Linked DNA regions of Caenorhabditis elegans. The protein of the gene in region 2 interacts with the protein of the main gene of each other region in a pairwise test. Each region holds a gene or a part of one and is shown on either strand. Other genes may lie near its edges. The genes, in order: tyr-4, arrd-8, F08D12.4 and chtb-1.

Evidence for each region.
Region 1: the proteins of arrd-8 (region 2) and tyr-4 interact in a two-hybrid assay, tested with the Caenorhabditis elegans proteins (one large-scale study listed by BioGRID).
Region 3: the proteins of arrd-8 (region 2) and F08D12.4 interact in a two-hybrid assay, tested with the Caenorhabditis elegans proteins (one large-scale study listed by BioGRID).
Region 4: the proteins of arrd-8 (region 2) and chtb-1 interact in a two-hybrid assay, tested with the Caenorhabditis elegans proteins (one large-scale study listed by BioGRID).

What each region holds. Positions count from the first base shown.
Region 1 is NC_003279.8:5,894,061-5,902,615, reverse strand, and holds tyr-4 (ShKT domain-containing protein), read right to left. Parts: upstream 4,314-8,555; 5' UTR 4,296-4,313; coding exon 4,158-4,295; intron 3,678-4,157; coding exon 3,548-3,677; intron 3,414-3,547; coding exon 3,283-3,413; intron 3,239-3,282; coding exon 3,027-3,238; intron 2,950-3,026; coding exon 2,488-2,949; intron 2,442-2,487; coding exon 2,349-2,441; intron 2,092-2,348; coding exon 1,757-2,091; intron 1,390-1,756; coding exon 1,060-1,389; intron 1,007-1,059; coding exon 582-1,006; 3' UTR 501-581; downstream 1-500. Other genes in the region: stam-1 (Signal transducing adapter molecule 1), read left to right, coding at 1-71, 169-354; C34G6.3 (Non-histone chromosomal protein HMG-14), read right to left, coding at 5,277-5,384, 5,471-5,728; pgp-2 (ABC-type xenobiotic transporter), read right to left, coding at 6,980-7,186, 7,254-7,400, 7,447-7,650, 7,698-7,802, 8,043-8,555.
Region 2 is NC_003280.10:12,061,628-12,068,924, reverse strand, and holds arrd-8 (Arrestin C-terminal-like domain-containing protein), read right to left. Parts: upstream 3,841-7,297; coding exon 3,659-3,840; intron 2,952-3,658; coding exon 2,846-2,951; intron 2,801-2,845; coding exon 2,635-2,800; intron 2,066-2,634; coding exon 1,959-2,065; intron 1,891-1,958; coding exon 1,357-1,890; 3' UTR 1,287-1,356; downstream 1-1,286. Other genes in the region: Y17G7B.22 (C2H2-type domain-containing protein), read right to left, coding at 265-380, 757-822; arrd-7 (Arrestin C-terminal-like domain-containing protein), read left to right, coding at 6,306-6,481, 6,671-6,776, 6,828-6,990, 7,039-7,148.
Region 3 is NC_003280.10:2,774,947-2,780,774, reverse strand, and holds F08D12.4 (CW domain-containing protein), read right to left. Parts: upstream 2,630-5,828; coding exon 2,455-2,629; intron 2,346-2,454; coding exon 2,302-2,345; intron 2,246-2,301; coding exon 2,120-2,245; intron 2,075-2,119; coding exon 1,927-2,074; intron 1,874-1,926; coding exon 1,761-1,873; intron 1,717-1,760; coding exon 1,558-1,716; intron 1,508-1,557; coding exon 1,493-1,507; downstream 1-1,492. Other genes in the region: F08D12.3 (CC domain-containing protein), read right to left, coding at 1-110, 165-269, 327-452, 497-607, 677-799, 844-954, 1,003-1,119, 1,172-1,220; fbxb-111 (F-box associated domain-containing protein), read left to right, coding at 5,771-5,828.
Region 4 is NC_003281.10:9,348,170-9,358,083, forward strand, and holds chtb-1 (Chitin binding domain (ChtBD2) containing chtb-1), read right to left. Parts: upstream 7,177-9,914; coding exon 7,143-7,176; intron 6,799-7,142; coding exon 6,681-6,798; intron 6,634-6,680; coding exon 6,494-6,633; intron 6,231-6,493; exon of another isoform or gene 6,051-6,230; intron 5,603-6,050; coding exon 5,500-5,602; intron 5,456-5,499; coding exon 5,358-5,455; intron 5,306-5,357; coding exon 5,207-5,305; intron 5,157-5,206; coding exon 4,719-5,156; intron 4,553-4,718; coding exon 3,906-4,552; intron 3,860-3,905; coding exon 3,640-3,859; intron 3,594-3,639; coding exon 3,456-3,593; intron 3,198-3,455; coding exon 3,072-3,197; intron 3,013-3,071; coding exon 2,779-3,012; intron 2,732-2,778; coding exon 2,483-2,731; intron 2,421-2,482; coding exon 2,361-2,420; intron 2,313-2,360; coding exon 2,184-2,312; intron 2,130-2,183; coding exon 2,013-2,129; intron 1,967-2,012; coding exon 1,283-1,966; intron 1,205-1,282; coding exon 1,001-1,204; intron 902-1,000; coding exon 755-901; and 9 more.

The DNA.
Region 1 (8,555 bases), on a different chromosome or scaffold from region 2:
AGGGAGGATTTCAGCATCAAAGTCAAGGAATGTACCAACAACCAATGCAACAGTACAACTATCAGCAACCAGTCAGTTTTTATTCAGAAAAAAATATTTAGAAAACTGAAATTTTTCATTCTAAGCTTCACGGTAATGCCTATCAATTCAAAAAATCGTATTTTTCAGCCAAACCGAGCATATTACCCACCTACCGGTCCTGTCCAACAACAGCAGCCACAACAATATCCTCCACAACACTATCCGGCTCCTGGAGCACAACCACAGTACGCATGCCCACCGAATTCTGTTCCCCAACCTCAACAACAGCAACAACAATGGCCTGCTCCGTCTTCACAGCCTCAACAATATTAACTTTTTGATTTGTTGTGAATATCACCTTTTCCTCCTTGAATCTGTAACTAGTTCCATTGATATTGTGATCACTTCTAACTTATTTTTCTCGATTCGCCACCCGTTTCTGTATAGTCTTTTGCTTCCTCGAGTTCTCGATAAGATAAAAATGAATTCTTTATTGAGTTTGAGGCAAATATTTATTATACACGAAAATAATCGGATAAATTGAGAAAAGGTAACAAAAATTACAAGAGGTCCGGATCAAAAGATGGCATTGAAATTGATGCATTGGCTGCTCGAATGGATCGTTTACCCCATCCACCGCCTCCCCATCCACCTCCACCCCATCCACCTCTTCCACCACCCCATCTTGATCCTCCCCATGGATCATTGTTTCCCCATCCACCACCTCCATTTCCACCCCATCCTCCATTATCTCCGAAATCGTCACGTCCCCAACCTCCACGTGGTGGTTGACGAGATGGATTAGTCTGACGAACTTGTGCAACTGGAGCAACTGATCCAGCTGTAGTTCCACACATTCTACGAAGCTCTGATTGAGTATAGCAACTGTTACAGCTTGATCTACAATTCTCAGCCATCCATGGATTTTTCTGACATTCACCGACACGAGCCCATCCGGCACATGATCTATGGTAGTCGACGCATGCTGAAATATATATTTTTTAATTATAAAAATATTTTTTTAAAAATAAAGCTTACATCCATAATTGTAATCTTCAGGATAGCAATGTCCACATGAAACTCGACAATTACATGCCATATATCTTGTATTTTTTCGGCATTCTCCCATTAATCCCCATACAGCACAGCAAACATTCTCATTGAAACAACCATCAGAATTATCACACTGTTGAGCTGGAGCAGGTGTCGTCGTGGTTACTGTAGTACCACCTCCTCCACACTCTTGAGCACGTGATCTACCACATTTATTACAACTTTTACGGCAATTTTCAGTCATCCAGAGTTGATTTTTGGTGCATTCACCGGAGCGGGACCAGCTACTGCATTGGGTATGACGATCAGTGCAATCTGGAAAATTATCGTAATTTTGCAGTTTTTCGATACACGAACTTAGAGGTGCATGGGTTTATTTGGTTTTTATGGGGCTTGGAGGAACTTTTATTATTTTTGGTCAGTTTTTATTTGTTTCATTTATGTGAGAGTTTATATTTTTCAATTTTATCTTTCTAAACATGAACGGCGCCGGAAAAATCTAATAAAGATACCATAAACTTTTTCCCGGTGGGACCCTTTCAAATAACCCCATGTACCTTTAATTTTCTGAAATTGCCAAATTACAATAGCAAACTTTTTAAAAAGAATTTTACCGAAAAAACCCTTGTGGTAATTTAAATATTTTTTAATTAAAAAATCCTAAAATACAAAATACACTCACCATCAGCCAGTCGATATTTGGGTTTACAAACACCACAACTGGCCTTACACCATTCATTCATATAAGCCGTATTCCTCGAACATTCCCCAGATGCTGCCCATGATGCACAACACTGATTCTCATTGAAACATGATTCTTGAGATTGTACTGGATTTTGAGGTGTTGGAGTTGTTGGAGCAGGTGTTGGACGTGGAGCTGTTGATGAGAGAACACATACACCGTTTTGGCAGATTCCTGAGAAACATGGATTCACACGGAATTGACCACATTGAGATCCTGGACGAATACGAGATACACAACGGGCGGCCCCGGTGGAAGTGTCACAGAAAAGGAATCTGAAATTTACAAATTCCAGTAAGTCTTCCACGGTAGACATCAAGAATATTCCAAATTTTTAGTGTGTGAAAATGTATCATCAAAAATGATCTTATATCTTGTACGACAATCTTTCAAGTTTCACATGAATTTTTTATCTTGAAAGTTTTTGATTCTAAAAAAATTAAACCCTGCCAAAAAATAGCATAGCTGTAATTTTTCAAATATTTGCGTAACATTTCCTAGGTTATTCTGATAATTTTCAAAAAAGTCTCACTTAGAACCGCAATCGCCTCCAGCTTGACATGTTGGCCGTGGTGCATAACTATACAAGTTATCTGTATATTTATTGGATAAACCATCGATATTTCTGAAAATAATTACATTTCCCTGTAATCAATTCACAGTTTCTTTACCTCATTGGACTGAACGGCTGCATTGGAGATGCTCCAAAATGTTGTGCAGAAGCACATAATTGATTATCAGGAGGGAATGCAATTTCCCGATCAGCTCTTGATTGTCTTGCCAATCTCCATTCTTCCCATACAAAATCAATAAATGCATGATGAAGGAAAAATGAAGGATCATTTGAAGAAGTTGCAGTGTCGAACATATCTCCTCCAACAAAAATGTGAACATTTCCATGAGTATATTCAAGACAATTGAAATCAGTTCTATATGGGCATCCTTGTTGTGGTGCAGTAAACGATAATACTTGATCAATTTGTGTCTGTCTCATTACAAAATCAATATCATTTTGTGAAAGTGGAGCTCCTTGTGCTCCGACGGCTCTCAGTATTTGGGCTCTTCCAGCCAAAGTTCGCCAATTTGTGAAGGGTCCATCATTAACAAGTCCGGTACTTCCCATAAGATAGTCACTAAAAATAGAAAAGTGAGTATTATGCGTTAATTTTCTTTAAATTTATACAAATTCTATTAATGATTTAAAACCTACCTGAACATAATAGTATCTGCAGGACGTGGCAGTCTACTATCCAACGTAGAATCCCAATATGGAAGATTAACCGTTGGATCAACTTGGCGTAGAGCAAACTCGACACGTTTCACAAATTCACGATGCCACGGAAGGAATGCTGGTCCAGAATGAGCTCCTCCGGCAGCAGACATTTGTGAGTGAATTCTTCCAATTCTTTCGTATTCACCATTCTGCAATTGAATGTAGAACTTAGAGTTTTAAAGTTTGAACTAACATTTTTGAGAGCACGGAATGCTGCGTGAAGTCTATTTCGTTCATCATCTGTGAGAGTACGGTACTCTTTTCTCACTGATTTTTGAAGTGGCCTTCCATTTGGAAGAGTACAACCGTTTCCAGACGCAGTTCCTATAAATCGATATATGTAGTGTATTCCCGGGAACGCTAGCTTCTAATAGACTTGCAACCGGTTTTCGTTTAAATACATTTCTAATACACCTATTTTTAAAGCATTTCTTCATTTTCTAATTTTCCAGTTTTACCTCTCAAATAAGAACACAAGCAGGGTAAATCCATGCACTGGTAGATATTTGAAGCAATTGGAGCAAACTCAGCTGCCATTCCCTTTGCCATTCCTGGTGGTAATGCAATTTTCTTTTTCTTTGATGCCGCCTGCAATATTTGAGATCTTTGACCGTCTTGTTTCTGACCAACATGTCCTTGACCGCATCACAATTGTAGTTATTTCATTATCATGATTCGCCTGTTTGCCCAGAAAATTTAATGTGGTATCAAAAGAACAAAAAATAAGGAAAGCACGTATTCAGGCGTACATTTATGCTTCATGCTTGCCTGCATACCTGCCTAACTGACATATATTTTTTGTGTATCAAAGTTAACTACGTTGCCTAATTCTAATTTAGCTGTTGTAAGTTCAACAGAAAGATGAAGAATATGTTGAATTGTTCTCTAGCAGAAGGCACAAAACAGGCAACCTAAGCAACCTCAGCAGGCAGGATTAGTTGAAAATGAAAATTCAAAAAGACAGTGCTTTGAGTTAGCTGGATGATAAAAATATGCAACCAAATGGTCACATTTTTACTGATTAAAGTAATAAAACAAATAGAAACACTTCAAAAATATAACACTAACCCTTGCTCCATCATCCCATCTGTGAATCTGCTTGCACATAATTTTTGCTGCTTCTGATGGAGCACTTGCACATGGATCTTCTTGTGCTTGTAAACATAATGGTAATGTTGTAAAGATTATGGGTATCAAAAACCTCATGGTTCAAGGCGTAGAAACCTGAAAATCAAGAAAAATGGAGAACCTTTTTCTTACATAAATTTAAAGTAGAAGACGAGGAATTTTTGTATGATTTTATATTTTCAAATATATACCAAACCCAAACTAAAATATAAAATCAAAAATCAAAAACAATATCATTAGGATTTTCGGGAAAAAATAAAAATAAAATGAATTGCTCAAATTTCAACAGTTCTGAAAAGACTTTTAAAAAATTATTGAAAAGTTTGTTCAACTTTTAATTTTGATGGTATTTTCTAGATTCCATTGGAACATTTTTGGTGGTTAGTGAAGTAGAGAAACATCGAAATAATATCAGAAAGAAGAAAACTAGTCAATTTTTTGTCAATTTAATTGACAACTAAACCCAAAAAACATTTGAAAATTACTGGTTCGATTCAGGGCAAACTGATGAAGTTAAAATGAAGACGAGGCGATTCTCCGTCCCTTTTTCATTTTTTTGTAACAGTTTTTTGTCTTTTACCTTCATCTCTTCTTTTTTATTTTTCGTTGTTTTCTGTGAAATTCGCTGATCTCTTTTTCTTCTTTTGATAATAGTGATAAGAAGTTGATGATGTCATTAATTTCCGAATGACAAAGAATTGGACGAGGAACTGACCTGGTGTTCTCTTTCTGAAACACTTGGGAAAAAACTGAAAACCAAATGAGACTGCGCATGCCGTTTGTAAAATACTTAGCGAATATTTTGGATGCATTTTGCAAGTGGCGAACAATATTTCACAAGTATTTTTCACTACTCTTCCTCGTGCCCTTCCAGCAGATTTTTAATGCAACATTTGTTCTTACAATTCCCGGTTGCTGAACAGCCCTGGCGGGTGGCCCCGTGTAATGTCTTGCTTCAAAATCAGATACTTGCAACCACAAACACCGAACTTTAAAAAAACTTTTATTACAATACAATATTGAATTGTTCCCTTTCGATTCAGTTTCTCGGACAGTTGCTCATTGAGCAGCACCAGCTCCTGGACCAAAATCCTCGTATCCATCGTCCATCTTTGTCTTCTTGCCGTCCTCCTTCACAAGAACATCCATTCCACTTGGCTCGTTTTGCTGAAATTGTTCATATTCTCAACTTTTTCCAAAAGAAATTTTTAGCAGTGTGTTTTCCTAATCAACTTCAAAATCGTAACTGTTACCTTATTAGGATCATCCTCCTTCTTTGCATGATCCTTCGAGGCATCTTTCTTCGGTGTGGCAACAACCTTCTTCTCGGCTTCTTCTTTTGCCTTCTTCTCTTTCAACTCCTTTGCCTCCTTTGCCTTGTCCTTCTCATTCATATCCACAGAAGTTTGGGATCTTGAAACCGACAAATTTGAAGTCTTCTTCTTCGTTTTCGAAGTTTTCTTCTTGTCAGCACAGTCTTTCTTCGTGTTTTTACTCTTTCCAGTCGTCATTTCTTTGTTTTACTTCGATGAATCGAAAGTCTGAAAATGGTCCGTTGATATCAGTTGTTAAGCAGCAAAAATATGTGACTTCCGATTTGCCGAAAGAAATCAATTGTTTTGTTGAAACAAAACATTAAGCAGAGCATCAAGCCAATTTCAAGCTGTCTGAAATCGCACGTTTCTAAAGAGTAAACTCACTTTTTCAACCAGAAGAGAGCTGATCAGAAATAACAATTAATGATTGTGATGTGGATTGAGATGAAGGAAATTTTTTTTTCTGGATGATGACTATCAGATATTTTTTGTAGAACACGTAGAACACATGTTACACGTTATTTTTAAATTAAAAATGTTATTGTATTTTTAGAGAAATATATTTTCTATGGGGCCGATTAATACATTTCATACGGTTGAGTCGTGAAAGGCACTTCTCACTTTTCTCATCACTTGCCTTCTTACTATTAGCAAAACGTCGTGACTTCATATCAAACTCCTGTAACTTAATAAAAAATAATAGTGATAACATTCAAAAAAAAATTCTAAAGTTTATATGAATTTTTGAAAATTGGAAAAATCTCACTTTTTGCCACTTGTTTGGAAGTCGTCGATGAAAACAATGTTACCTTCGATTTTTATGGTCTATTATTGCTTTTAAAATAAATTTTCAAACACTGTAGCACTTTCCTTCGAATGCCCTCCAATTCAAAGAGCGTGTATTTTGTTCAGCCTTACAATTTTTCACAGCATTTCCAATTTTTGATCTTCTAGAGATTCTTTTATCAATCTTCGTCAAATTTAGATTGGATGTTTCATTGATCTTAAATTGAAATAGGTGTAATGAAACTACAGTAAAAAAGTTAAATTAAAAATATAATAGTCTAAAGAAATCCTATTTTAGATTCTACATATTGAATGATGAGTAGTTTTTTTTCAAATAAAAATATTTATGCAGTGAAAATGGTAAATAATATATTTAAAAAAGAAAACAAAAAGACAATTATCACAATTCAAAGATAATTATCACAATTCAAAGAATTTCACACAAAATACACAAGATGGAGGGAAAGGCTATTTGGGGAAAAAGCAAAGTACCTAGATGACAAAAAAATTATTACGGGTTTACAAAATTTTCTAAAAATTTTACTTGATGAGCATATTTAAATTTTAAATATCAAGCTGTTTCAATTGAACATTAAAAAAATGAAACTCCATGCAAATTAGTTTGTAAACTCGTGTTTGAGAATCTAATACATATTTAAATTATTGACTTTCGACAATCCTCTGCGTTTCACAGAATTTCTGATATATTTCACTCTTCCTTATCAACTCGTCATGTGTTCCCTTTTCCACAATTTTACCCTCACTGACGATCGCAATGACGTCACTATTTTGAATTGTGCTCAACCGATGAGCAATGACAAGACACGTGCGACCTTGTTTTGCGGCGTCCAATGCTTCTTGTACAATCTGTAAACAGTGAATAAAACGATATTCTTCAAAGTCAATTTGCTATTTCAATATTTTTCATACAAACCTTTTCACTTTCCGTATCTAATGCACTAGTTGCTTCATCCAAAAGTAAAACAGAAGGAGATCGAACAAGTGCCCGTGCAATGGCAATTCTTTGTTTTTGACCACCCGAAAGTTGAGTTCCTTTCTCTCCGACATGAGTATCATAACCCTGAAATTTTTAGAATGAGTTCTGATTTATGAAAATATCACCCTACATCTGGCAATCCTAGAATGAAATTGTGAATATTTGCCATTTTGGCAGCTTCAACAATTTCTTGATATGTAACATTTCGATTTGTTCCGTAGCAAATATTTTCTCCAATTGTGCAATCAAACAACGTTGGCTCTTGACTTACAATACATACTTGTTCGCGAAGTGAACTGATGTTTAGGTTACGGATGTTATCACCATCAATCATCTAAAATTGTTTGCAGTTAAAACCAATCAGAAAGAAAATTGACTCACAATCATTCCTTTATCTTGATTATAGAATCTCTCCAGCAGTCCCATAATTGTAGATTTTCCACATCCTGAGTGCCCGACAAGTGCAACAGTTTTACCGGCTTTGATCTAAAATAAATATATTAATATTTGTTTTTACAGGTGGGTTAAGAATTGTAGGATCATTGTCTTTTTTTTTTTTCCTATTTTTAAAATTTCAGTAAAAAAGTCAGAGGGCAAGTGCATAAACATTCGATACAAAAACGCAAAAAAAATCCATATCCAGTTTTTAAAAGTCAAGGCTTATTGCTTTTTACCCTAGGATTGCACTACTGTCATATAGAAGTCAGGTATCAAATTAAAACCTACATCAAGAGTGAATCCTTGTAAAACCTTGGTATCCTTTCTTGTTGGATAATTGAAAAATACATTTCTGATTGAAATATTTCCAGTTATCGGCTTCACAATTCCACTATCAGATAGAGAATCAATAGGTGTTGGATGTTCAATAAGATAGAACAAAAGAGAAGCAGCAAGACGAGCTTTTACGACATCAGGAATAAAAGATGTAGTATTTCCAATCATTTGTCCACAGAATGAAATAGCAAAGAATACTCGATAGACATCAATTGGTTGCATAGCTTGTTGATTTACAAAAATACTTCCAAGATAGAATGCAGCAGCATACATGAAGAAAATAAGAGATTGAGAGAATGCAAATACAGCTCCATATGTATGTGCATGTTTCAGATTAGTATTGAATGGTTCCCGAAGATATTCACAGTATGTGAAATGAAATTGTTCCTGACGATTTAAACTATGAACTGTTCGAATGTGTTCAACAGCCTGTGAAGCTACTTTTCCAGCTTCTTCCAACAATTG
Region 2 (7,297 bases):
CTTTTTGAAATGATAATTCAATCGAAGCTTGAATTTTCGCTTACTACTTTTTTTTGCTTTAGGTAGAAAAACATTACTCCTAGTAGTAGGTAGGCCTAATATGGTTAATATGTTTGGAGCAGGTCTACAACACAAATACCAACTTGACAAATGCCGAAAATACAAATTCTCGGCAAAAAGGCAACGGCTACAGTTCTGGCAAATTGTAATTTCGCTATTTTTTCTGGCAGCTTCCAAAAGAAATTGCCAGAAACTCTGACTCACTCATTATCTTCATTCCATTCTACATTGAGTTTCCTGACTCCTTCTGTTACTTCTCCGACTTCTATGTCAATTGTTTTCAATCTTTCAGGTCCATTATTAGTTTCATAATTACCAGTCTGAAGTTGAAAAAATTATCATTATTTTTAGCCTAGTTTTTATACCCACAAAGTTAAGTGTTTCTTGCACCGGGAATAAGTATTCTTGAAAAACTAAATAAAGAAATTCTTTCTTCAAAAGCTAAATATGTTAACCTCATTTCCATTTTCCGAAATAGTCTATTTGTTGGATTTGTATTATTATGTTTTGCTAAGCCATACCAAAAAAACTATACAAGGCACGTACGAAATACTCCAAAAAAATTAATTTAAAATATAATCCTTCAAAGGAATTTTTTTTACTTCTTGGAATATTTACTCATGCCCGTTTCTAAAACGTTACACACGCCAGATAATTTTTCTCGTCTTTTGTAATATTTAACCTCAAAAAACTTACCCGAAGTAATTCTTGAAGCTCAGCAATTTTCTTCTCAATTTCGTCTTTAGTCAACTTTGATGACATCATTCTAAAGAAATTAATTCAATCCCCAACAGAAGGCAACAGATTTTTTAAAGTTAAATTTCTCAAAAAGGACATCTGAAAAGTTGTTTCAAATTAGTCTTAATAAGAAGCGTGCAGCTAATGCTTTTCAAAAAAATTTATAATACAGTTGCATTAAAATTTGGATTTGTCTGAAAGTATTCGAAACAAAATTGTTTTATACAAGTTATCACTTAGGACAAATAAAATGCTTTTTTTTTATTCTAAAATTGGAAATACTGAGCACTCAAATTCAAATTCATTCATTGCATTAAACGTTTCAAAACGGAAAATACATTACTATGAAATACTTAAAGCAATCGATGAACTACGGGAGACGTTGTGCGAGAAGCGGATGTACGCAGAGACATAGAGAACAAAAGAATGCACATGCACATCTGCTCACTTAGCAGTCATGAAGCAAATCCGCCGGCACTACACTGATGTAATTAAACCGGCAAATTAAAAATTTAATTTACTGAAAATGAGAATTCGATATACACACACGAAAAAATGTTAAAAATGTTCTTCATTTTCATATTCCGGCGGTGGAGCACTTGCCTGAGAATCTTCTACAATTTGACTGAAGTTTTCATATTTAGGAGGAGCTTCCGTAATAGAATAGGCAATTGGTCTTGTGAATACTCCAATGGGAATTGTTCCAACAGTAATCGGAAGTTCACATCTCAATTTCTTATTCTCTCCGATATCCACAATAATACAATAGTCTACTTCAATAATTCCTGTTCGAAAACTAGGAACCAACTGATTCGGCAGAACAAGTGGCACATTTATTTGGCTATTTGAGCAAAATTCCACGTGACAACTCTTCTCAACTTTCGACATTGTGGTTTGAGCAGTTTTATGCTCACAATGTTTATGACAATGTTCTTCTGGAAATAGATGAGAATTCTCTTGTTGAGCCTGATAATGCACGTGCTGCTCCAATTTTGCTTTTATAGAATATATAGGCTTCTTCGTGTGATTTTGAATTAGAGCAGATACTTGGATGGTCTCTCCTGGGATGTATCCGGATTTTGGGATGGAGATCTGTAAATATTAATTTGTTAATTGAGTCATTATTTGTTATTAGCATGAAATAAAAAAAATTATGTTACCTTAACTTTAACCTCTTTGTTAGAAAATAATCCAGAATGCTTGCAAGAAGATACGATCATTGGATTGATTGTTTTTGGAATGGAGTTTAAATCGATAACCGGAATCACTGAAATATTCGAAATTAAATTTTAAATGTGATTTGCTTTTATAGATAAATTGCTAATGATTTCAAGCTTCAGTTTAGCCCAGACGGGGTTAAAATCAGGGCTCAGCGGCAAACGATTTTTCCGGCAAAATTAGCGAATTGGCAATTACCGAAATTGAAAATTTCCGGCAAATATAGCAAATTGACAATTTGCCCAATTTGCCGGAAAATCTGTATTTGCCGATAGTTGTGAGTTTTTCTGGAACTTTCAGAATTTCAGTTTTAAACGAAAAAATTGTACACATCCGATGAATAGCCTTACATCTATTTTTAAAAGTCAGTGAATTCTATGAGAATATCGTTAAAAAACGGGGGAAAATTTCAAAAAGGCACAGTTTCAAGTTTCCGTCTTCTCCGGCAAATTGTTATCCGGCAAACGGCAGATCGGCAATTGGCCGAAATTTAAAATTTCCGGCAAAAAAAGACAATTTGCGGATTTGCGAGATATTATATTTTGACACAAAAAATATTCACATTAAATCATGATTTCTTTTCTTTTTCAGGTCGTATCAAAATCGTTTCCAACTCACCAGAAAACACCCTCTTCGCTTCAACATTCATCCTCCATGGCCTATCTAATTCCACGTGTACCGAATATCGAACATTTCCATGCGTCCCTTCAAAACTCGGTGGTAGATTTGCAGGAAGTTGGAAGAGAAACGGAAATATGTTCACACCGCCAGGGATTTTATTGTTCTAAATGTGGTGTGTAAATATTAAAGTGTATTCAAATTTACTAACCGCGTTTTCAATGGAACTCCATGGCTGGGCGATTCCTTCCAAGACGTTTATCTTGCTAGTATAGTTGATATGTTCAGAGCTACGATACCATCGACCATGTCGGTCACTGAAAAGAAATATGGTGGTTAAAATCAGGGGAGCGCGGCAAATTTCAAAAAACTGGTTCAGCCGAATTCGCCGCGCTCGGCAAATTTTGAAATTTGCCGCACACATCACAAATAGGCTTTTTTTTCAAATTTGGCCAAAACTGTTGATTTTGTTCAAAAAATTATAGTAAAATAACATGAAGTTGAGTTCAAAGTTGTGCTAAAAATTCAGTAGTTTTGGCGCTTCTAGAAATATCAAAATGTTCTCATTTTTCGGAGTTTGCCCAGCACGGCAAGATTGCCCAATTTGCCCAATTAGCCAAGCTCGGCAAATTTTGAATGTACCTTTAAATAGTGGATAATCTGATTACTGTTTTGGAAAGGAGAGAGATGAATATCTGGCGGAAGTATTTAAATTTTGTATGTACCATAAAACGAGCGGCAATAATAATTTCATATATTTTTTAACGAAGCTTCTATTGGCGATTTTAGTTGTATTTTCATGTCATCAGAACTTATAAATTAGTAAGTAATCTTCCTCTACGTCACTTTCATTTCAGAACCTTACATATTGGCTCACTTCAAATGCCTAACCCCAAATTGAGAAATTCAGATTTTTCTGGAAAAACAACTCTGGCCGAAAACTTGAATTTTCTGAGAAATTTTTTTACTGAAACTCGTTTTTCTTGACTATTTTTTGAAATTTTAAATAGTCCCCAAAACTCACTATCTCCCTTTATTCTCAAATTTCCTCCACAACGTTTCAATATCTCCATGGATGCAAATTTTCAGAGCCAGTGCATTTAAAGCATTTCGATTTCTGATTGTTAGCTTCCCTGCTACATTCTGTCCAGGGGAGTATACAGCGGCAGGATGGTCGAATTCAATGAGAAATGTGGTGTCTCCCATTTTTTGTAAGTCTGACATGAAATTATACTATATTACAGCTTTACATCCAATATTTTTCTTTACAATTAGTTGATATAAATAAGTTCCGAATAAAAACTAGAAAAAAAATCTTAAAAAAGAAACAACTCAGTTCATTCCATTCTCTTATCAACTAATAACTTTTATTTATAAAACATGCACCATGTTTACGTCATGTTTTCTTGCCGGAAAATTGATAAAGTCTGAAAACGTGCAAAAACGTCATAGACAACGTACTTCATTGGTCTTTTTTTTCTTTTCAGTGCAAACTTTGAGCATGAATCAGAACAATATACTATTTATGGGTTATTTGTGTATTTATACTTTATGCGATGACGTGGTTCTTCACAAGTTTTTAATGTTAACATGGTTATTAAATATAAATCGGTGTGCTTTTTTTAAAAATTCGCTATGAATTGGAATTTATCGATTATATATTATTAAAGTTATTAAAGATAGTGTATTGTTAACGGGGTTTTGATTTAAGATACCCTGAAAAATCTAATTTTGGCTAAAATTTTGATATTCCATTTTTATTTTGAATTCGCTCCAAATTCAGAAGGCAAAATATATTTTAAAAAACTAACCAAAAAATTTACAGTCAATAGTTTTTTTGTTTAAATTGCTTTGGTTATGTTCGTGCAAAAAAAAAGTGTCCTGACTATAAAAATAGCAAATTTTCCGTACTTTCAAATGAATGTATGACCGTCTTTGTAGCTACGAAATTCATTTCAAAAAACCCGAAAAATGTTTTTTTTCAATTCCACCACCATAAAAAAAAGTTTGGAAATTATATTAGGTTCGCTATGTTTAATTGTGAGTAGAAAAAAAGTTTCCTGACTTGAAATATAGCAAATTTTTTTCTCTTTGAGAAAAATGATTTGTCGCGTTTAAACGCGACAAAACATAGTTCATAGTTGGCCAAAATGTTTTTTTGTAAGCTTAATAAATTCCTCTAATTATTTGAAACAGTTCCTACAAAACCGTTTTCATTTATTTTATATTTTAGAGCAAAAAAGTACGGCATATAACTTCTAGCTGGAGATTTAGGAGAAATTCAAATAGGAATTTTAGGAAAAAATTAAAAGCCTCCTTCCTCAAATTTTTTTTCAAATTTTTAGTTATTTTTGTTACTCAATTTCAACTCTAACTTCAAGATATTCTTCAAAATATGAGTTTTAAATTTTTATTTAGTTCTGGATTTTTTATGATTTTTTTTTCATTTTTCAAAGAAGAAAATGTATTGCATTCTAAATATTTTTACAGGAAAATTGAAAATTTTTCGCCGATTGCCATGTTACGTATTGGATTTTTTGTCGTTTTTTTCCAATTAAAAAAAAATAATTTTAGAGAAAAAAAAAACGAAAAATCAAAAGAGAATCAACTATGTGTAATTTTTTGACAAACTTTGCAAAAGTTTAGAAAAATTCTATAATTATTTTAACAATCTTAATTATAATAATAAATCATATTAATAATAATAAATTTTAACAATTTAACGGTCAATTTTTTAAATTTTAGAACAAAATTCCCCGAATCCGTTGATAAATTTCTTAAAATAAATTGAAAAATTAAATTCCTACATTTTGATCTATTCCATCCCATTTTACTACTTGTTTTTATGATTTTGGTCTCTAACACATTAAATACCATCCCAACATACAATATTTGTTCTTCCCCCCTCCTAGGTCTCTCAAAACAAATACTATCTAGGTGTCCAAAATGCATGCACATTTTGGAAAATTTCGCAAACCTAGTGACGGAATTTTCACCGTTTTTTGTTAGTCACCAAATAAGCTGGCTCTACTGATAAGTGCTATCATTGAATTTAATGTATTCTTGAGAGCAGTTTCATAATTATTTCAGTGTGCTGGAAACAACTTTTTGATTGTGATTTTATATTTCAGAATCGATATGATTTTCTGTTGATTTTTTTGTAATTTTTAATGTTTAAAGTTAGATTATTACGTCGAAAACATAAGCTTTGAAAAATTCCAGAAAAATTGGTATTATAAACTTTTGTTCAGGAGTTTTTAGCCAAAAATAATTAAATGTTTTCGCTACGAATTTTCAGTCTAAACTTACTAGTAAAGTTCTTCCAAAAACATTTTCAGCCAAAATTTTATAGCAAAGAATAATTCAGTCAAACCAGAAAATATTATTCTATACAAAATGCGCTATAAATATTTTCCACCTAGAAAATTTAATCAAAAATTTACAGACCAAAAATATTGCGATAAGCATTTTTATGCCAGGTTTCCAAGCCAATTTATTCAGTTTGATCTTGCTAGGCGAAAATTCAAAAAAAATTTTTAGCCCTCTAAAAACTTCAAAATGTTCAGCTTGAAAATTTCAGTCAAAATTATAATTTTGAAATTCTACGCATTTTTAAAAAATTCTCATACTATTAATTATGTCAGCTAATAATAATTAGAATATTACCAGAAATGGACGACTTGCGAATTGAGTACGACGCTCCGAACGATGTATACTTCCCAGGACAGGCTGTCACCGGAAAAGTAATCATACAGAATCGTGAATGGATCAAAGCGAGGTTTCTGAAAATTTGCATTCACGGAGGTGCACATACGCATTGGAGTGAAAGTCGCAGCACATATAGGACGTGAGTTTTATTTTTTGAATTTCTGATTTCAGCACTTTTTACTTGCTTCCCTTAATAGTCGTTTACCTAAAGACCATAATTCAATAAATAGTCACTAATCGGAAAAATACGATAGCTTGTCTTTTTTTTACTAGACTGCTTACCTGTAAAATAAACCCTTTGAACATCAAAAAACAAAATGCCTTTCAGAAACACACGTGGAGAAAGGGAACGATTCACGGAGAATGTGAACTATAACGCGACTATCAACTATTTGACCGGAGAATCGATTGCATGGCAGTCGAGAGATGGAACTGTGAGTTATTGGTTAAGCTGTCTTCACGCTTTCAACAAACTCTTGTTTCAGGACCGTCTTCCAGCTGGCACCAATGTCTTCCCATTTGCTTTTAACCTCCCCATCAATTGTGCGCCAAGTTTTGAAGGCTGTCACGGACATATTCGATACGATGTCCACGTGGAATTAGACAGACCATGGAAGTTTAATAAAAAGTCGAGGAAATGCTTTTCGGGTATATTCGTTTAATAACTTTGGGTTGAATCGAAAAATGTCGTTTCAGTGATTCCGGTGTTCGATTTGAACATAACTCCAACTGCAATAAACCCGATGGTGAATACTGCATCGAAGAATACTGGACTGATACTCAAAAAGGGATTAGTTACAATTACGGTAAGGGATTATCGAATTAAATTGAAGATAGGTAATGTGGTAGAAATGTTAATAATTTTTTTCACAGTTTTTTGTCTACTACTATAAATTAGCTACTAACTCAAAAACATCATAAAATAAAATAAAAACAACCTTTGTACGCTTCTCTT
Region 3 (5,828 bases), 9.3 Mb from region 2:
GTTCCAGCAGCAGACACTTCCCTTGGTAAGAGAAGTTCCTGCTGGACAGGCTCCGTCGACGGCAGCTGGTCCAACATCTTCATTTTTCTGGCAGGTAGCGGTAGAGGGATCTGGAAATTTATATTTTTAAAATTTTTTCGATTTTTCCTGGAAAGCTTCCCTACCGTACACATCCTTAGCTTCACAACAATCGCTTCCTACAACTACTTGACCCGGTGGGCAGCTTCCGAAAACTGCTGGACCAGCAGAGGACTTGCAGGCGGAAAGAACTGAAACCAAAGGAACGTGAAATAAATTCACAACTCTCCTAGTTAACCAAATCACACCTTGAATTCCGTCGAAATAGCAGCAGACGGCTTCCTTTGTTGTGGGAGAGGTACCTTCCGGGCAGGTTAAGCCGGTGCCATACGGTCCAGCTTCGTAACCCCTCTGACAAGTAGCGGTGGATGGGTCTGGAAATCATTCTCTCCAAAAGTTTCAATCTTAACTAACCTACCGTACACATCTTTAGCTTCACAACAATAATTTCCGATGAGTACTTGTCCGGATGGGCAGATTCCAAGAATTGCTGGACTAGCAGAGGACTTGCAGGCGGAAGCGGGGGCGTCTAGAATTGAGAAAAGGTATAGGTTAGGACTAAGACTGAAAAATTTCTCAGTCAGATAATAAACCTCACCTTGAATCCCTTCGTTCCAGCAGCAGACACTTCCCTTGGTAATAGAGGCCCCTTGAGGACAGGATCCTCCAGCGCCCGCCGGCCCGACAGATTTACCTTCCTGACAAGTCGCGGTGGATGAATCTGAAACAGGGATTCCCTGGAAGCTGGAATGTCAAGTGCCCTACCGTATACATCCTGAGCTTCGCAACAAATATCTCCTACGACAACTTGCCCGTCCGAGCAGTATCCCATTATAGCCGGACCAAATGCGTTTTTGCAGCTCTCAGCGGGAAGCTCTAAATAATTTTTCAATAGAAATGTTGTAATCTCAAAACCGATCCTACTGTAGACATCATCCTCCCAACAGCAGTAGTCCTGAATGACAACCTGGCCAGCAGCACAGGCACCTCCAATAGCAGGCCCAGTTGGAGATTTGCAGGTGGAAGCTGAGGAGGTTGCTCCTGAATAAGGCTTCATCCTGATTTTCACAAAAAGTTGAAGAACAATGCTCACCTGGAGCCACTGCTGAACAGAAGAAGATAGTCAGAAAGGTTCGGGACATTCTCGAAATTTAGGAGTTTTGGCTTATCCTGCTGGCATTTTAAACCATTTTTGAATTATTTTGAATTTAAAGTAGTTTGTTTAAAGGTGTGCAAACTCAAAACTGTTGATTTATGGTAATAAAGAGAGGGGAGATTTGAATATAAAACTTTTAGTTATATAATAAAATAGTTCAGCATTCAAAAATTAAATTATTTATTCAAAATAAGCTGCCAAACCAAAGTCTAATAATTCGGCATTTTTCCGCAAACAGCCAACTTGGGGAGGTACGTCCTATATAGACCGCAGCTGGAAACTTTTAATTTTTATTTGAATTGCCAAAGTTTTTACAATCTTACATACTCTGCAGTTCTCAGACTTCCATTGCTCCTACTACTCTGGTTTACCGGAACCATTAACATAACGCATGCCTGCTTTCGTGAGACCCAATTTGGCTGCCCGATATCCCATTTGTATCCGAGTTTTAAGTTGAGCGTGGTGTCACTGTACTTGACTTGCTGGAAGTCTCAAACGTCTGACGAGAACATCGGTAGGGACTTACACCTGCCACATCTTTCACTCCATCAACCCACACACCCCAGCCCAGTCGCACATTTGATGGGAATACGAACAATGTCTCGCGCATGTTTTGCTTCATTATTTGATAAGCTCGGTCTGAAACTAGTTCACTGGAAACTTAACAAAAACGGCGGCTTAAGGGGGCTTACCCGTCGCGTAAGCTCTCTCCTCATTGCTCTCCAGCCCACTTATTCTACCATCGATGAACTCCGATCCATCCCATCTGCAAGCAACATAACTGAAACTTTGATCAAACTGTAGCAAGTATCCGTCACGTTCCCTTCGATTGATGCCTAGCTGGAATATATGTATCAGAAGGTTTCGAGAACTAACATAAATTACCGTGAGACACCAATAAGTATTGTAACGTGGGAAAAGCTTCCACCCAACTTTACAGGTGGGAAATTTCACAGTAGAAGCTGGGCAGGAGGTGATAGGTTGGCTCAGGTTGGTGTTTGGCACGGATCTCTGAAAAGAAAAGGACATAAACTACGTACGTAGAAGTTCAACGGCAACATATGTACCTTCCACGTAATGTAACTAGTATTCGAATTGCCTGGTGTAATTTCTGCAACAGCTCCATATTCACAATTGAAGCACGGACCTTTTTTAGTTATCCAGTATGCTATCTTATACAAATAGGGTTACATATATGTAGTTAAAAAGTAATATCCTACCTGACACCTCATATCCTTCCCACACTGTACAATTTTGAGTTCCAATAGCTGAAACCAGCTGACAACTAGTTTTTGTGCGCACAGTTCCACGGAGCAGAGTCATTTGGATGTCTGATAGGGAGTTACGCACAATAAGCTTTATAGAGAGAATAAAACAGTACAGCAGCTTGTGCATGTTGAGGCTGGCAAAGTGAATATCCTCTCAAAAAGCTCACCAATAAAAACTAAGAAACATTAAAAAGTACGCCTGGTAAAAAGCATTAAGCCAGATTCTTTCTTCATTTCCATGGAAATAGGAATTCTTTACTTTACGATAATTTGTAGATATTTCACCAAATGTAGGATCTGTAAAATGGAATAGTTCAATTAACTTTTGATCCAGCTCTTCCAATATGTTCAATCATTTGACAAAGTCCACCAGGTTCTTAGTTTTTCAGCTCGTTCTTAACAGTTTTCACAATCTAGAATTTTAACCAGAATATATTTCAGATAATGCCATTAAGAATTTTATTGACTATTGTTAACAAATACTTTCCAAGCTATCCAATTGTAAGCAATAAATGTGAAAAGACCAGTAGCCTGAGCTGAGCCAATTTCAATAAATAGGCTTCTTTCCGCAAACGACCAGTTTGTTGTAAACAATATATACTCCGCCGCAGCTGAAAACAAAAACAACGGTTCCTTCCTAATTTAAAATATAGTGCATACTTAGAGTTTACGAGAGTTCCATTAATTTCTAAAGTTCGATCGGTCGTTACAACCAGCTGAATGCATGGTCGAGATGGTAAGTAATCCCAAAGTGGATAGTTTTTGGCCCACCTGTATCCACGTTTCAAGTTGAGTGTGGTATCCGTGTACTTGATTTTCTAAAGCTAAACATTAGCTGCTCAACGGACGAAAGAACATACTTTCCCAACATCTAACATCCCGTCAATCCATACACCCCAAAAACGCGCTACACTCCCTGATGGTGTTTTGTTCATGTTATGTGTTATTTGGAACGCCTGACCACACACCCCAGCCCAGTCGCTCACTTGATGGGAATTCGAACAATGTCTCGTTCATGTTCTGTAGCATTATTTGATAAGCTCGGTCTGAAACTTGTACATTGAAAATTTTACAAGATCAAGGGACTTAAGGAGCCTTACCCGACGCGTAAGCTCTCTCCTCATCGCTCTCCAGCCCACTTAATATACCATCTATGAACTTCGATCCATCCCATCTGCAAGCAACATAACTGGAAATTTGATCAAACTGTAATAAGTATCCGTCACGTTCCTTTCGATTGATGCCTAGCTGGAATATGGGTTGTGAGAAGGTTTCAAAAACTGAAATGATCTACCGTTAGACACAAATAAGTATCGTAGCGTGGGAACAGCTTCCACCCAACTTCACAGGTTGGAAGTGTCACTGTGGAAGCTGGGCATGAAGTGATAGGCTGGCTCAGGTCGGTGTTAGGCACGGATCTCTGTAAATGAGCATTGTTTAACATGGCCAGAAGTCTATGACCATGACTATAAGGTATCATAATCGCGGACTATCGAACTGCTTAGCTTGCTTACCTTACCTTGCGAACTTGGTAAGTGGCTAAACTTTTGCTACAATCAGTCTCTTGTAGGTTCTATGTTACAGATAAGCAGGAGCGGCAAAACTTAAGCTTTTTGGCATCCTTCAGGCCGCTACCGCTTTACCTGTTGAGCCAGTCAAAGCTTAGTAGAGCGCAACTACGAATCGTTTCACCGTTTCAGGTTGAGGCAACCAACACCTATCCTGCCTCTTACCTCCCAACCCCATCAAATCAAGCTTCTGAACGGTGCGCTACAGATTTTGACCGGTTTGGGGTTTCGACATAGACATACCTTCCAAGCTATCAAGCCACCGGAGCTCCCTCTTGCAATCTCTCTAACAGCTCCATACTCACATAGCAAACACGAACTTTCCAGTGCGCTATCTATCACAAATAACTTTACACATACATACAGTGCCGGCCAATATTCTATTCGTTTTCGGGTTTTCGGAAATTTGCTTGAGTTGTTCAAACACGTCTAACTCAAAAACTATAACAGTTTGCAAAATATTTTCAACTAACAAAATGTTGCTGCTAACTTTTTCTGCATTCACAATATTGTCAAAATCCCATCACTTTGTCACGAAAAAAGTTATAGCAGCTGACATCCGGCGGGACTGTATTTTGACTAAAATTGCTAAGTGACTCACAACTCTGAAACTAGCCGTTTTCATAAAACAAAGTTTAATAAGAAAATAATTATTACAAATTTTTCTACATTTTGCAATTTGTTGTTCTGTCACAAACTGACCAGGAAAAACTACAGAAGGTTGAACATGATGCTCAAATTTCTAAATTTTAAGTCATGCTAAATTGCTTTAAATAACAATTTTTGTAACGAAAACCCGCATAATAAACGTTTGCAACATGTTTAAATTGTTTTTTAACTCAGAATCTGATCCGAAAAAAATATTGATTGCATTATGAAAATTTTTTGTTAAATCTGACTTTCGTTATGCACGTTTAATCTTCTGTATAATTTTTCCTGGGGACTTTGTGACAGAACAACAAATTGCGAAATGTAGAAAAATTTGTAATAATTATTTTCTTATTAAACTTTGTTTTATGAAAACGGCTTTCAGAGTTGTGGGTCACTTAGCAGTTTTAGTCAAAATACAGTCCCGCCGGATGTCAGTTGCTATAACTTTTTTCGTGACAAAGTGATGGGATTTTGGCAATATTAAGAATGTAGAAAAAGTTAGCAGCCACATTTTGTTAGTTGAAAATATTTTGCAAACTGTTATAGTTTTTAAGTTATACGTGTTTGAACAACTCAAGCAAATCACAGTAAAAACAAAAACGAATAGAATATTGGCCGACACTGTATATAAAGTCTCAAAATCATGTCCTACCTGACACCGCCTATCCTTCCCGCATAGCCATGCACATGCTATCGTACCATTCGTCTCTGTCTTCACACATTCAGTCCTGTTGCTCAGAGAACCTGGGAACAGTGTCATATGGATCTGCTCCGTGCCGGATAAGGGAGGTTGCAGGCAGAATATGAGGAAATGTAACATTTTGCAAATTGGTTCAAAGAATAATAGCCAGACGTATCTGCAAAAGACTGCAGCTCCATGGATACGTCAAGGAAGTGATGTCATGCATAGAAAGGTGGTCTCATTGAACCTTATTACTTTATTCCGCCTTTCTTGTACACTCAAACCGGTCAATAAATAATAAGCGACGCGCTATCTGTATTCCAGGTGGCCCCTCTTCCCGCTGTGCTCATTTGTGCCTCCTGCTCAAATGGCTGCCTGTTTTCCCCTTCTTCGTCTCTCTAGCAAAGACCTGCGCAATGTTTTAC
Region 4 (9,914 bases), on a different chromosome or scaffold from region 2:
TTCAGCTCTTCAGGCTTCACACGCTTACGCTGCTGCTTGACTTGTCGTCGTTGGCGGCGTCGATCACTGGGTCGTCGTTCATTTGGAAAGCTAAAAGAATTGAATTAAGGCAAGAACATTTTAAATATTTCAAGCGTGCTCAGAGACTCTAGATGGGATTCTGGAAGTCTATAAGTCTAAGCTTCTAGGCAAATAGGAAAATGGTGAAGCTATGGATCGGCTTGTTAAGGACTAGAAGTCTATATAGAGCATGCAAAAGGGGACAGATTTGCCAGTTGACGAGCTGGATAGAATTCAACATGCGATTCCTTACACTTTCGTCTAACGCATGCGATTCCTTGCGTGTAGGCGATCGGAGAGCACTGGCAAACTCCAGCGTGGCACATTGAAAGCCCCTCGGCTTGTCCGACGCACTCGCCGTCAAGCTGACAACGGGCGCCGATGGGTCGCGGCGCTATAAGAGAAGATGATGTGTCTTCGTGATTTTTTAAATTTCACGAAACTTACACATCGACAATGATCCGAATCGATTGTTGTTGTTGATGTTGAAACCATTGTTGTTACCCGGGAATGATGGGAATGTCTGTGGTTGACCTGGTGGACAGCAGAGATTTAATGAAGAAACACATTCATATCCAGTTCCACATGATCCATTTGGGAAGCATCCGGAGACGGCGGTGTCACCGGATGGACATTTGCCTGTAAAGGGGAAGATGAGAAAGATTCAGTGGGGAAGATGCATGCAAACTAGTACTTTGAAGAAGTCCGGCTGGCTTGTTCGATGATGGAGAGCAACATTTGCCATTCTGACACTCGAGTCCAATTCCACAAAGACCGTTCATGCACGGACCGGATGAGAGTGAACCATCAGAGCACGAAGAGGATGGTCCGCCGAAGCGAGCTGAAGAAGAAGAGGTGGAAAAGGGAGGATACCAGGGAGATTTTTTTCAAAGTAAGAAATTCACGCCACACGTTGATCAGAAAAACAAGGCATACTTACGAGGCATATAACTGTGAAGTGGACGTCCATAGTTTGGCTTTTGAGCCATTTGTCGAGAGTTACCAATACGAAGACGGCTGAAAGTAGTGGTAGAACAACAGATTCCGGCGTTCGTGAAGCAAGTGTATCCAGTTGGGCAGGTTCCGGCGTCTGTTGCTGTGTCGCAGTCTCCGATTTGATTAGCAGTGAGGCAAAGTCCGGTGGCTAAAGTTTTCATAATTAATGAAGGTGAAATCATATAATGTTCAAAACTGTTCATATAATTTTGATTGAATAACTTACTACACTGAAGATCGATACAAGTTCCTGGATTGACGCCGTTGGTGATGAGTGGACTGTTTGGAATGTAGACAACGACGTATCCTGGTGGGCAGAGTCCATCAATAGCTGGTCCGACTTGGCATGACTCATCAGTATATCTGACAACTGGGCAGCAGTTAACTTGGTTGGAATCGCAAGCGTATCCGGCTGGGCATCCTCCGTTGAATCCAGTTCCTGTGCATGGGCCAATGGAAATCTCATCGGTACAGGTGACACTTGCTGGGCAGCAGACTCCGTTGGTAAGGGAGTATCCGTCGATACAAACTCCGTTGACAGAGGGAAGACCAGTTGATCCATCAGTACAGGTGGCAGAGCAGCAAAGGTTTCCTTGAACGGTGTATCCAGTTGGGCAAAGTCCATTGATGGTTGGGCCGAGAACTTCTCCTCCATTTGGACAACTGTTGATGGGGCAGCAAATGTTTCCGGTGGTGCAAGTGTATCCAGATCCGCAATAGTATGAGACTTGAACTCCTCCGCATCCATCTCCGGTGCATGATGGAATGCAAGCTCCGACGGCGTCAGATCCGTCAAGACATTTGACAGTGGTTGATGTTCCGGCGCAGCAAAGTCCATTGGAGCAAGTGTATCCAGTTCCGCATTGTCCGTTCACACATCCTCCAGCAGCTTGGGTTCCATCAGGGCAGACTGGAAAGTTCGAAGATTAGAATGTAAAGTCTACATTAAAAATTACCGAATGGGTTAGTGGTGGTGGTCTGTGGGCAGCAAACGTTGTTGCTACAGGTGTATCCACTAGCGCATCTTCCAGACATGCAGGCTCCAACAGCGTTTCCTCCAGATGGGCAGGTGTCTAGAATAAGATTCATTTGAATAAATACCTATATCGATAAACTATAAAACTTACAGACAGAGATTCTTGGAGCAGAGTTGTATGATGGGCAGCATTGGTTTTGGATGCAACTGTATCCAGTGGCACAATATCCAGAGCTGCATCCTCCGACAGAGTATCCACCTCCTGGGCATGAGTTTTGTGCTGAAATATCAGAAATAAGTTCAGCGTTCAAATTTTCAGAGTACTCACGGATAGTGATGATTTGTGGGGCATTCTGGCATCCGACGCAGTTGCTGGATCCTCCGCCCACTGAAAAGTTAAATATAAATATCTGACTGTACATACAATTTGTTAGAAAAATGTTTTATTACTGCATCCACATGAGTAAGACGAAAATCGTGCAGGATCTGAATCTGGGAAGTTTGCTGAAGCTTCCATCTCATTTTCATCTTGTTTTTGCTTTCTTCTCTTCGTTTTTCTCTTTTTTGGGTTCTTAGGATCAGTGAGTGGTAGTAAAAGCGGACAGCAGAGGTTAATAGCGGTATCACAGTGCAATCCAGCTGGACATTCTGAACCAACAGAGCAGATCAAGGAAGACTGGAAACCTCCGGCACAAGAAACTGTAAAAGACATCTGGAAGGTGCAAGTGATGTTAGAAGGTGCTCACCACCATCTCCTTGAGCTCTTATCAGAACTTCATCCAAGTTGGATAAATGTTCAGGGAACCCATAGCCAGGAGGTCCGATTGGAAAATCATTTTGAAGAAGTGGATCAGAGAGGGGATCCACGTCTTTCTTTTTGGGTTTTCTGTGCTTTTTACTAGAGTTAGACTTTTTCGTATTATTTTTGGTTTTTGTGGTTTCTGGTTGTGACGGGTTAGTTGTGCTGTTGGTGTCAGAATCTGAATTATGGAAGTGTGCTGGTTGTGGGAAGTGATCAAAAATGATTGAAAATACTTACCAATAATAGCTGAGCCAGAGTTGGATCCACTGGAGCAACAGTATCCGTTGTTGCAAGTTCCGACGGAGCATGGGTTGGAGTTGGAGCAGCTAGAGAATGTGCACACGAGTCCGCTGGCTTGTTGACCTGTACATAAATATTACAAATGTAAATTGAGATTATTGGAGTATGGATTTTCATAATGAAGAATGTTAGAAGTAAGTATTCATGCGAAGGTTTAATGTGGTTAGTTATGTTATTTAATTGAATATGTCGGTGTACACGTGTTTGTCAAAGAGATTGGGATTGAAGCATTGTATCTGGATCTGAAATACATAAAGTTTGAATTAAGTTCATTTTCTTTGAACCTCACCTTTTAGGTATTAGCTAATTGACAGCATCTACCCCGTTGATTACAGAAATAGGGAGATGGACACTGCAAACTGTATCGGCAGGAAGTTCCGAATCTTGGATCAACTTCAACAGATCCTATGGGGCATTCTGAGGAAACCTCAGCTGTTACACTTCCTTCGACGACAAGTCCTGGAAATCATTAGTTCAATTAAGTTTGGGATGCCATGTTTCTTACCAGGACTATAACAGCATGCAAAATGTTCCTTATTGAGTAAAGTACATTTGTGAGATGATGATGGGCAGTGATCATGATTACTAGCAGACTGACATGAAGTTTCAGGAACCGTCCCGTCTGGGCAATGAATGTTCAGTTTGCAGCATTTGCCCGACAGTGAGCAAGTGAAATCGGGAGGGCACAGAGTATGTAAATCACATCTTTGCGTGGATAAACATTTCTAAAAAATAACATTGAATATTTTACCACCTCGAGTAGAAACTTACATTTTTGTTAATCGATACACCACTGGTTTTGTCAACTTTCTTCCAAACTTTTGTTGCTGTTGAGATTATTTCTTCTTTTATAATTACAGGCGTGGTTTCTCCGACACTATCGGAAGTGGAATCCGCAGATTCTGAGAGGAACGGACAACATTTCCCATATTCACATCTAGAAGCAATTGGACAATCATCTGATAGAGAACAATGAACTGGAATCGAAAGAGCCATCAATCCATTTCCACATCGTGCCTTTGGTGGTTGCTTACAGCATATTCCATCTACACATTCTGACATCTCTGGGCATATAATATCGATATCACATTTTTTAACTCTGGTATCCACTTCACAGTCTCCAATTATCAGTTTTTCTGTCTCTTTGGTGTGCTCGTTGTCTTTGCTCATTGTCAAAACTTGTGATTTTATCACAGCTAATTCGATAGTTTTTGGGCAGCATCCTCCAAAAAAGCAATGTTCATTTGCTCTACAGTGATATTGAGTTTTACATGTGAATTTGACGGCTGTTAGACTTCTCGGACATACAGCCAATTTACAACAACCTTGATAACATTTGAAGGTTGTTGGACAATCTTCATCAGAAGTACAATTCGCATTTGTTCCTCCACATGTTGCAGATGATGATGATGCTCCGCCTATAAAAGTACAGTTGATGAAATGAGGTGGTTAGCTAATGCGCGTGCTTCTCATTAGGCTCCTATTTACTTTGTAAACAGTGGTGGAAACGGAGAGCGCTCTTTCCGAAATACTTTAAAGTGACCACAAACAGATGAGAAAAGGAAGGAAGAAAAGTGAACGCACCTAATGAATTGACCTCGTCCGTGTTACTACTCAAACATCGAAGTTTTGGAGGTTCAGTGGTTCTTGTCGGAGTTGGTGTGATTCCTGGAGCCATAATTTCATCTAGTCGCTGCGGTTTTTGAGTTGGGAGTGATTCGATTGCAGCACTATCAAAAATATCATTATCCACTTCAAATATTGTATTTGTTGCCTCTACAGTTGCATATCGATATACTTTTGGATGTCGTAGTAGTTTTCTTTCTTCACAGCAGTTATTCTGGCATGTCATTCCTTTTGGACACGATTCATCGATTGTGCAGACCGTCGAACATCCAATTGATGATTGCAATGCAGTTGAAGGGCAACACACTTTTTGTGCGGTACAAAAATGTCCCTTGGGACAAGAGTACGGATCCCGAGTACATGTATTATTAGGAGGAGAACCATCAGAACACAAATCTAATGGAAAGTTAGAGATCATAGGCGGGAAAAGTGTGATTAGAACCTACTTGAAGTTGTTAAAGGGATACAGTTACCATTGCGGCAAGCTGATCCCAGTGGGCATTTCGAGCAGGGATTTTCAGTGTTAGATGGGGAAGATGTTGATGCTGTTTAAGCAATTAGTGAAATAATATGTGGTTAATCATAAAAACAACTTACGGGAGAGAGAGCTCATTCTCTTTGGAACGATACAAGTTTGTTGCTCAAAGTTGAACAAGAAGTTCTCTTGGCACGACTTGCGGACCCATCGGAGAGTGCTGGAATTGAACATTTTGTTTTTTATTATGCAACGGTTTCCTACGTTTGGTCACATTGAAGGTAGGAAGATGGGAAGTCGTTATGAGCCTGAAGACAGGTGGCTGAAACGGCACAGACCTCGCTCTCGCGGGCTCCATTGTCTTGTTCTGAAAATATTTTATTGATCGATTTAGAATAATAAGATGAAATTTCAGTTTTAAACCAAATCCCCGATCTCATTAAGTTATCCCTTCTGTCTTTTCTCGCTGGGGTTCTTAAAAACAAAACACTTTTCCTCGGTAGGTCGCGGCGGCGACTGGTGAGCTCTGCGAGCTGCGTATCCCTTCCTCCAACACTCTCTTATCAACCTTCTGACCTATTTGTTGAACCCCCTCTTGGTCACGCGCCGGCGACTCTCAACGCACTGTGCGCAAGTGAGTGGTGGACAAAAGCCGGCGGAGCAAGCAGGAATTGCAAGACACCGCAAGTTGCGTTTTTTTCTTCATTCCCATCAAGAGGATTTAGGTCATTTGCGTTCATTAGAGTGGTCAAATAATGGAATTGTGAAACAAAGGATCCCAGACAAAAGTGGCGCATTTTCCTCGAATTTCCTCGAAAAGATGATGAAATTTGGTCACAAGAAATGTAGTGAATCTAGTTTTGGAATTCGTTGGCAAAATATCTACACACTATTTGTGATGTTTGTGTGTTTGTATGTGTGTGTTTTATTTTTTGGAATGAATTGAATTGAGTGAGAGGAAAAGGAAAAGAATTAAATGTAAACACACAAATACACAAGAAACACTGTCAGAAGCATAAGCAAATATGGCTTGGAGATGTCGGACTTCCACTTTTTTCTACTTTTCTTTCTTCTACAATTTCCTAGATACCTTATCGCTCGTAACAGTTCATTTCAACTTATTGTTGACCACTGTGGTTGATGTTTATTTGCGGTCAGAAGTGGGCTCGCTCATTAGTTGACTTAAGAGCTTCCACCGATTTAAAATAGAGGAATAAATGTTGGTGATGAAGAAGAATAAGAAGTCTAAGAAACTCACCACAAATGTTCGGGGAAGCTGGTTTACGAGCTTTTGGATGTTGTTGTGGCTGTGTATTTTCAGCTGGAACAGATGGTACTGATGAAGGAGCGGCGGCGGCTCTCGACTTCACAACCCAGACACCTTCACCTTCGGCACTACTAAAAGAATGAAAGATTTTCAGTTGTTTTGGTTGAATGAAACTCACTCAGCTGTCGTCTCGCACTTGAGGAAAAACTGTGTCTGTTTTCCTCCAATTTGAACATCAGCAGTTCCAAGTTTACACGTTCCGCCAATTACAGGCGTCTGTCCATGTCCAGAAGCGACTGTAAATTAAAATTGGTTTGAGAAATGATAAGAAAAATGAATGGGAAATTATTATTATTTAAATTCTCAAAATACAGTGATATTTCAGGCCTAGATTTTCAGACAAATTCTTGCAATCTAGTAGTTGAATAGTAAACTATAAGATGGAATAAGTTTGATAAGTTTTATGTATAAACCCATTTAAATTCAAGATCAAATTTAGACTATTCAGAAACTTTTTTGCCTCTGAAAATATATGGAAAAATATAGATTTTCAAGAGAGAGTATTTAATTTTAGAGCTAACATTTTTCAAAAATAAACAGAATCTAGAATGTATTATATAAAATTTGAAAGAAAGCTTACCGAGGAGGGTGATTAAAATGAGATTGCGCAGCATTATGTGTATACTGCTTTGTGATTATATGATAAATGGAAGAAGGTGGTCGATTCAGATGGAAAACAAAGCTGCTATCTTCTTCTTCTTCTTTTGGTGGACTCGACAACAATTGCCACGCTGGAAAATTTGAACACTGATAAAGTGATAAAAGGCTGTGATGGGGTGGGAGATAAGGGGAGGAGACAACGGAGCAACAAGAAGACGGAATTTGAAAATAATGGTATTGTGGGTGGGGGTTAAGATGTGAAATGTGTCTTCTCTCCGATGGTGAGGTAGAGAACGAATGAAGCAGGTAGGGTGAGAGCTAGAGGATAGGAAGCTTCCGAGGGGTTGGGGAGGTTTGTATGCGAAACGCGCCGCCCTCTCCGTCTTCTTCGTTTCTATCTTTCGTCTCTTCTCCTCTCCGCGTATACTGTACCGGTGCGGAGATTCGCACACGACGCTTGAGAAGGTGGCGAAGACGGAGAGAGGTCAGTACTCTTTCTCTGTCTCTTTCTACATCAAGTCGGCCGAAAATAGAAGCTCGGCGCTTATGAGCACGAGAATAGAAGGCGCGCGCGAGGTCGCGGTCTCTCTTGCGAAAAAGTACTATTGTTTCCTTTTTTAGGGTTATTTGGGGGAGCAACACTAAGGCGTCTCAGATGAGGTAAAACCGCCGCCAGGAAACACTGGATCAAGTTTTTTGGGGGTTGAGCAACTTCTTGGCAAGAAAAGAGTCGACGAGTTCAACTTGACCAGCGCGGACGAATTCCGGGCACGGATGAAAGAGGACAAATAATCGGAAGTGATGATGAGGGTGGCGTAATTTTATAGTTGATTTCACAAGAATTTTATGATTATGATGGAAGTGATTGACCTACAGTAGTCTTACAGTACAGTACAGTAGTCTACAGTAGTCTTGACATCTGTTCTTGAAAACATATAGTTTTGAAGACTTAAAACATCCACCATCCATGTATCGAATAATATGTAGCTAATGTTTCAAAATGATATGATGTTTTCCGGAACTACTGCATATTTCCATAACATTGAAGGACGCGCGATGCACACATTTCCAACAAAAATCGAGCACCAAGCGCCCACCGCGACTCGTATACTGTTGCAAAGTGCACATTCGGTTTCGATTCGACCGAGTCATTGTAATTTAACTGTTCTGCCACTTGTAGTCATTGCCACTTTTAAGTGAAATTGAGACCCTCCAAATCCAAATTCCCGGACATAAAAAACAACGCGCATTTTTGTAAGATCTCGTGTAATTCAAAACTCCATTATTCTAAGTGCGCAATGCACGCAATTAGTGAGACACCTCTAGTCAAATACGATGCGATGTTGGTCAGGCAATTTGAACTGGACAGGGCAGCTAATATATTATGGACTGTGAAAATTTATTCTCAGTTTTTTTTAATTTCAAGCCTTTTAATTTGAATCTATTACTGCTTCACAACGATTTTTGTTTTTGGATTATCCGTTGGCAGCGCATTCCGATTTTGAAATTTCCGTGCTATTGATGAAGCCAAAAATTTAAGCCGCTTTTGATAAGTAACTGTAAAAATTCAATTGAGTTAATGCAAATTCGGTAACTTATGTTTTAGCGTTTTTCGCTCAACTGATAATAAGATAATGTTGTTTTTAAAACTTCCAGCGTACATTAAAAAGAAATGGAAAATAATTTCCATGCATATCATTGCTAATTTCTTTACCGGTCTCTTTTTGCAAAAGTACAAGACCATTTAATTTCTCGATGGCATCCAGTTCGTTCCTTGCGTAACTGGCCATATTCATATGTAATTGAATGAAATCTCACTTTTCATTCAAAACCATCTTCCGAATCCGGAGAGACTTGTCTTCTTTTTTGTTCTTTTTTCGCACCTAGAAAAGACACGGAAGCAAAAAAAAACATCATGGCGTAGACAAGCTGTCAAGCGCATCTTTTTGCAACACTATATCACGAAAGAGATTGCTCGTGCCACTGTTTGTTGTCCTCGCGGAGTCTCTACGACAAAACTTGTCATTTTTTATCAGATTTTGGTGCTGCTGGTGGTGGGAGAGAAATAGTGTTGAGGAATTTGGGTTTGTGTTCGTAGGAAAAAGATCACAAGGGCGGCGGCGGGTTGTGTCTCCTTCATCTCACGACAAGACGGGACCCCGAATTTGACAAAAAAAACCGCGGCGGATACCAGGCTCGGCCAGGCGGTCGAGTGATAAGTATGTTCATGTTATGTTTACAAAGTGGTATTTCCCTAAAACATGTTACTTTGAAATCAAAAGATAATATCTACATAATATCAATTTCCGATTTTTCTGAACAAACCTTGAAACTTTATGATTAGAAACTTATAGAGACTTATAGACAACAGAGATTTTATCGGTTGACAACTTTTATTCAAAGTAAAAGCCGACCAAGATATTAAACTTATGTTCCAGCTTCAAAGTGCGTTGCTAGAAACTATGTTAACGCAGGCACCAAAACAATAGCCGCGCCTGCCTGAAACCGCGAGCCTCCTGCTTTGCTTGGGACCCGAAAAGTGTAGGTTGCCTTGAAAGAACCAACTATTGCACGTGGTGCAAACACCAGGAATTTCATGTCATGCCAGAGAATAGTTCAGACAGGTTCCAGACCCTGAAACCGCGCCTGTCTCTTCATGGAAGCTTTACTAGAAACTGAGCGACTCCACAGTCACATCGAAATGTGTTCAATCTCAAATGATCATTGTTTTTAGGATGCTCGTAGACAAAGC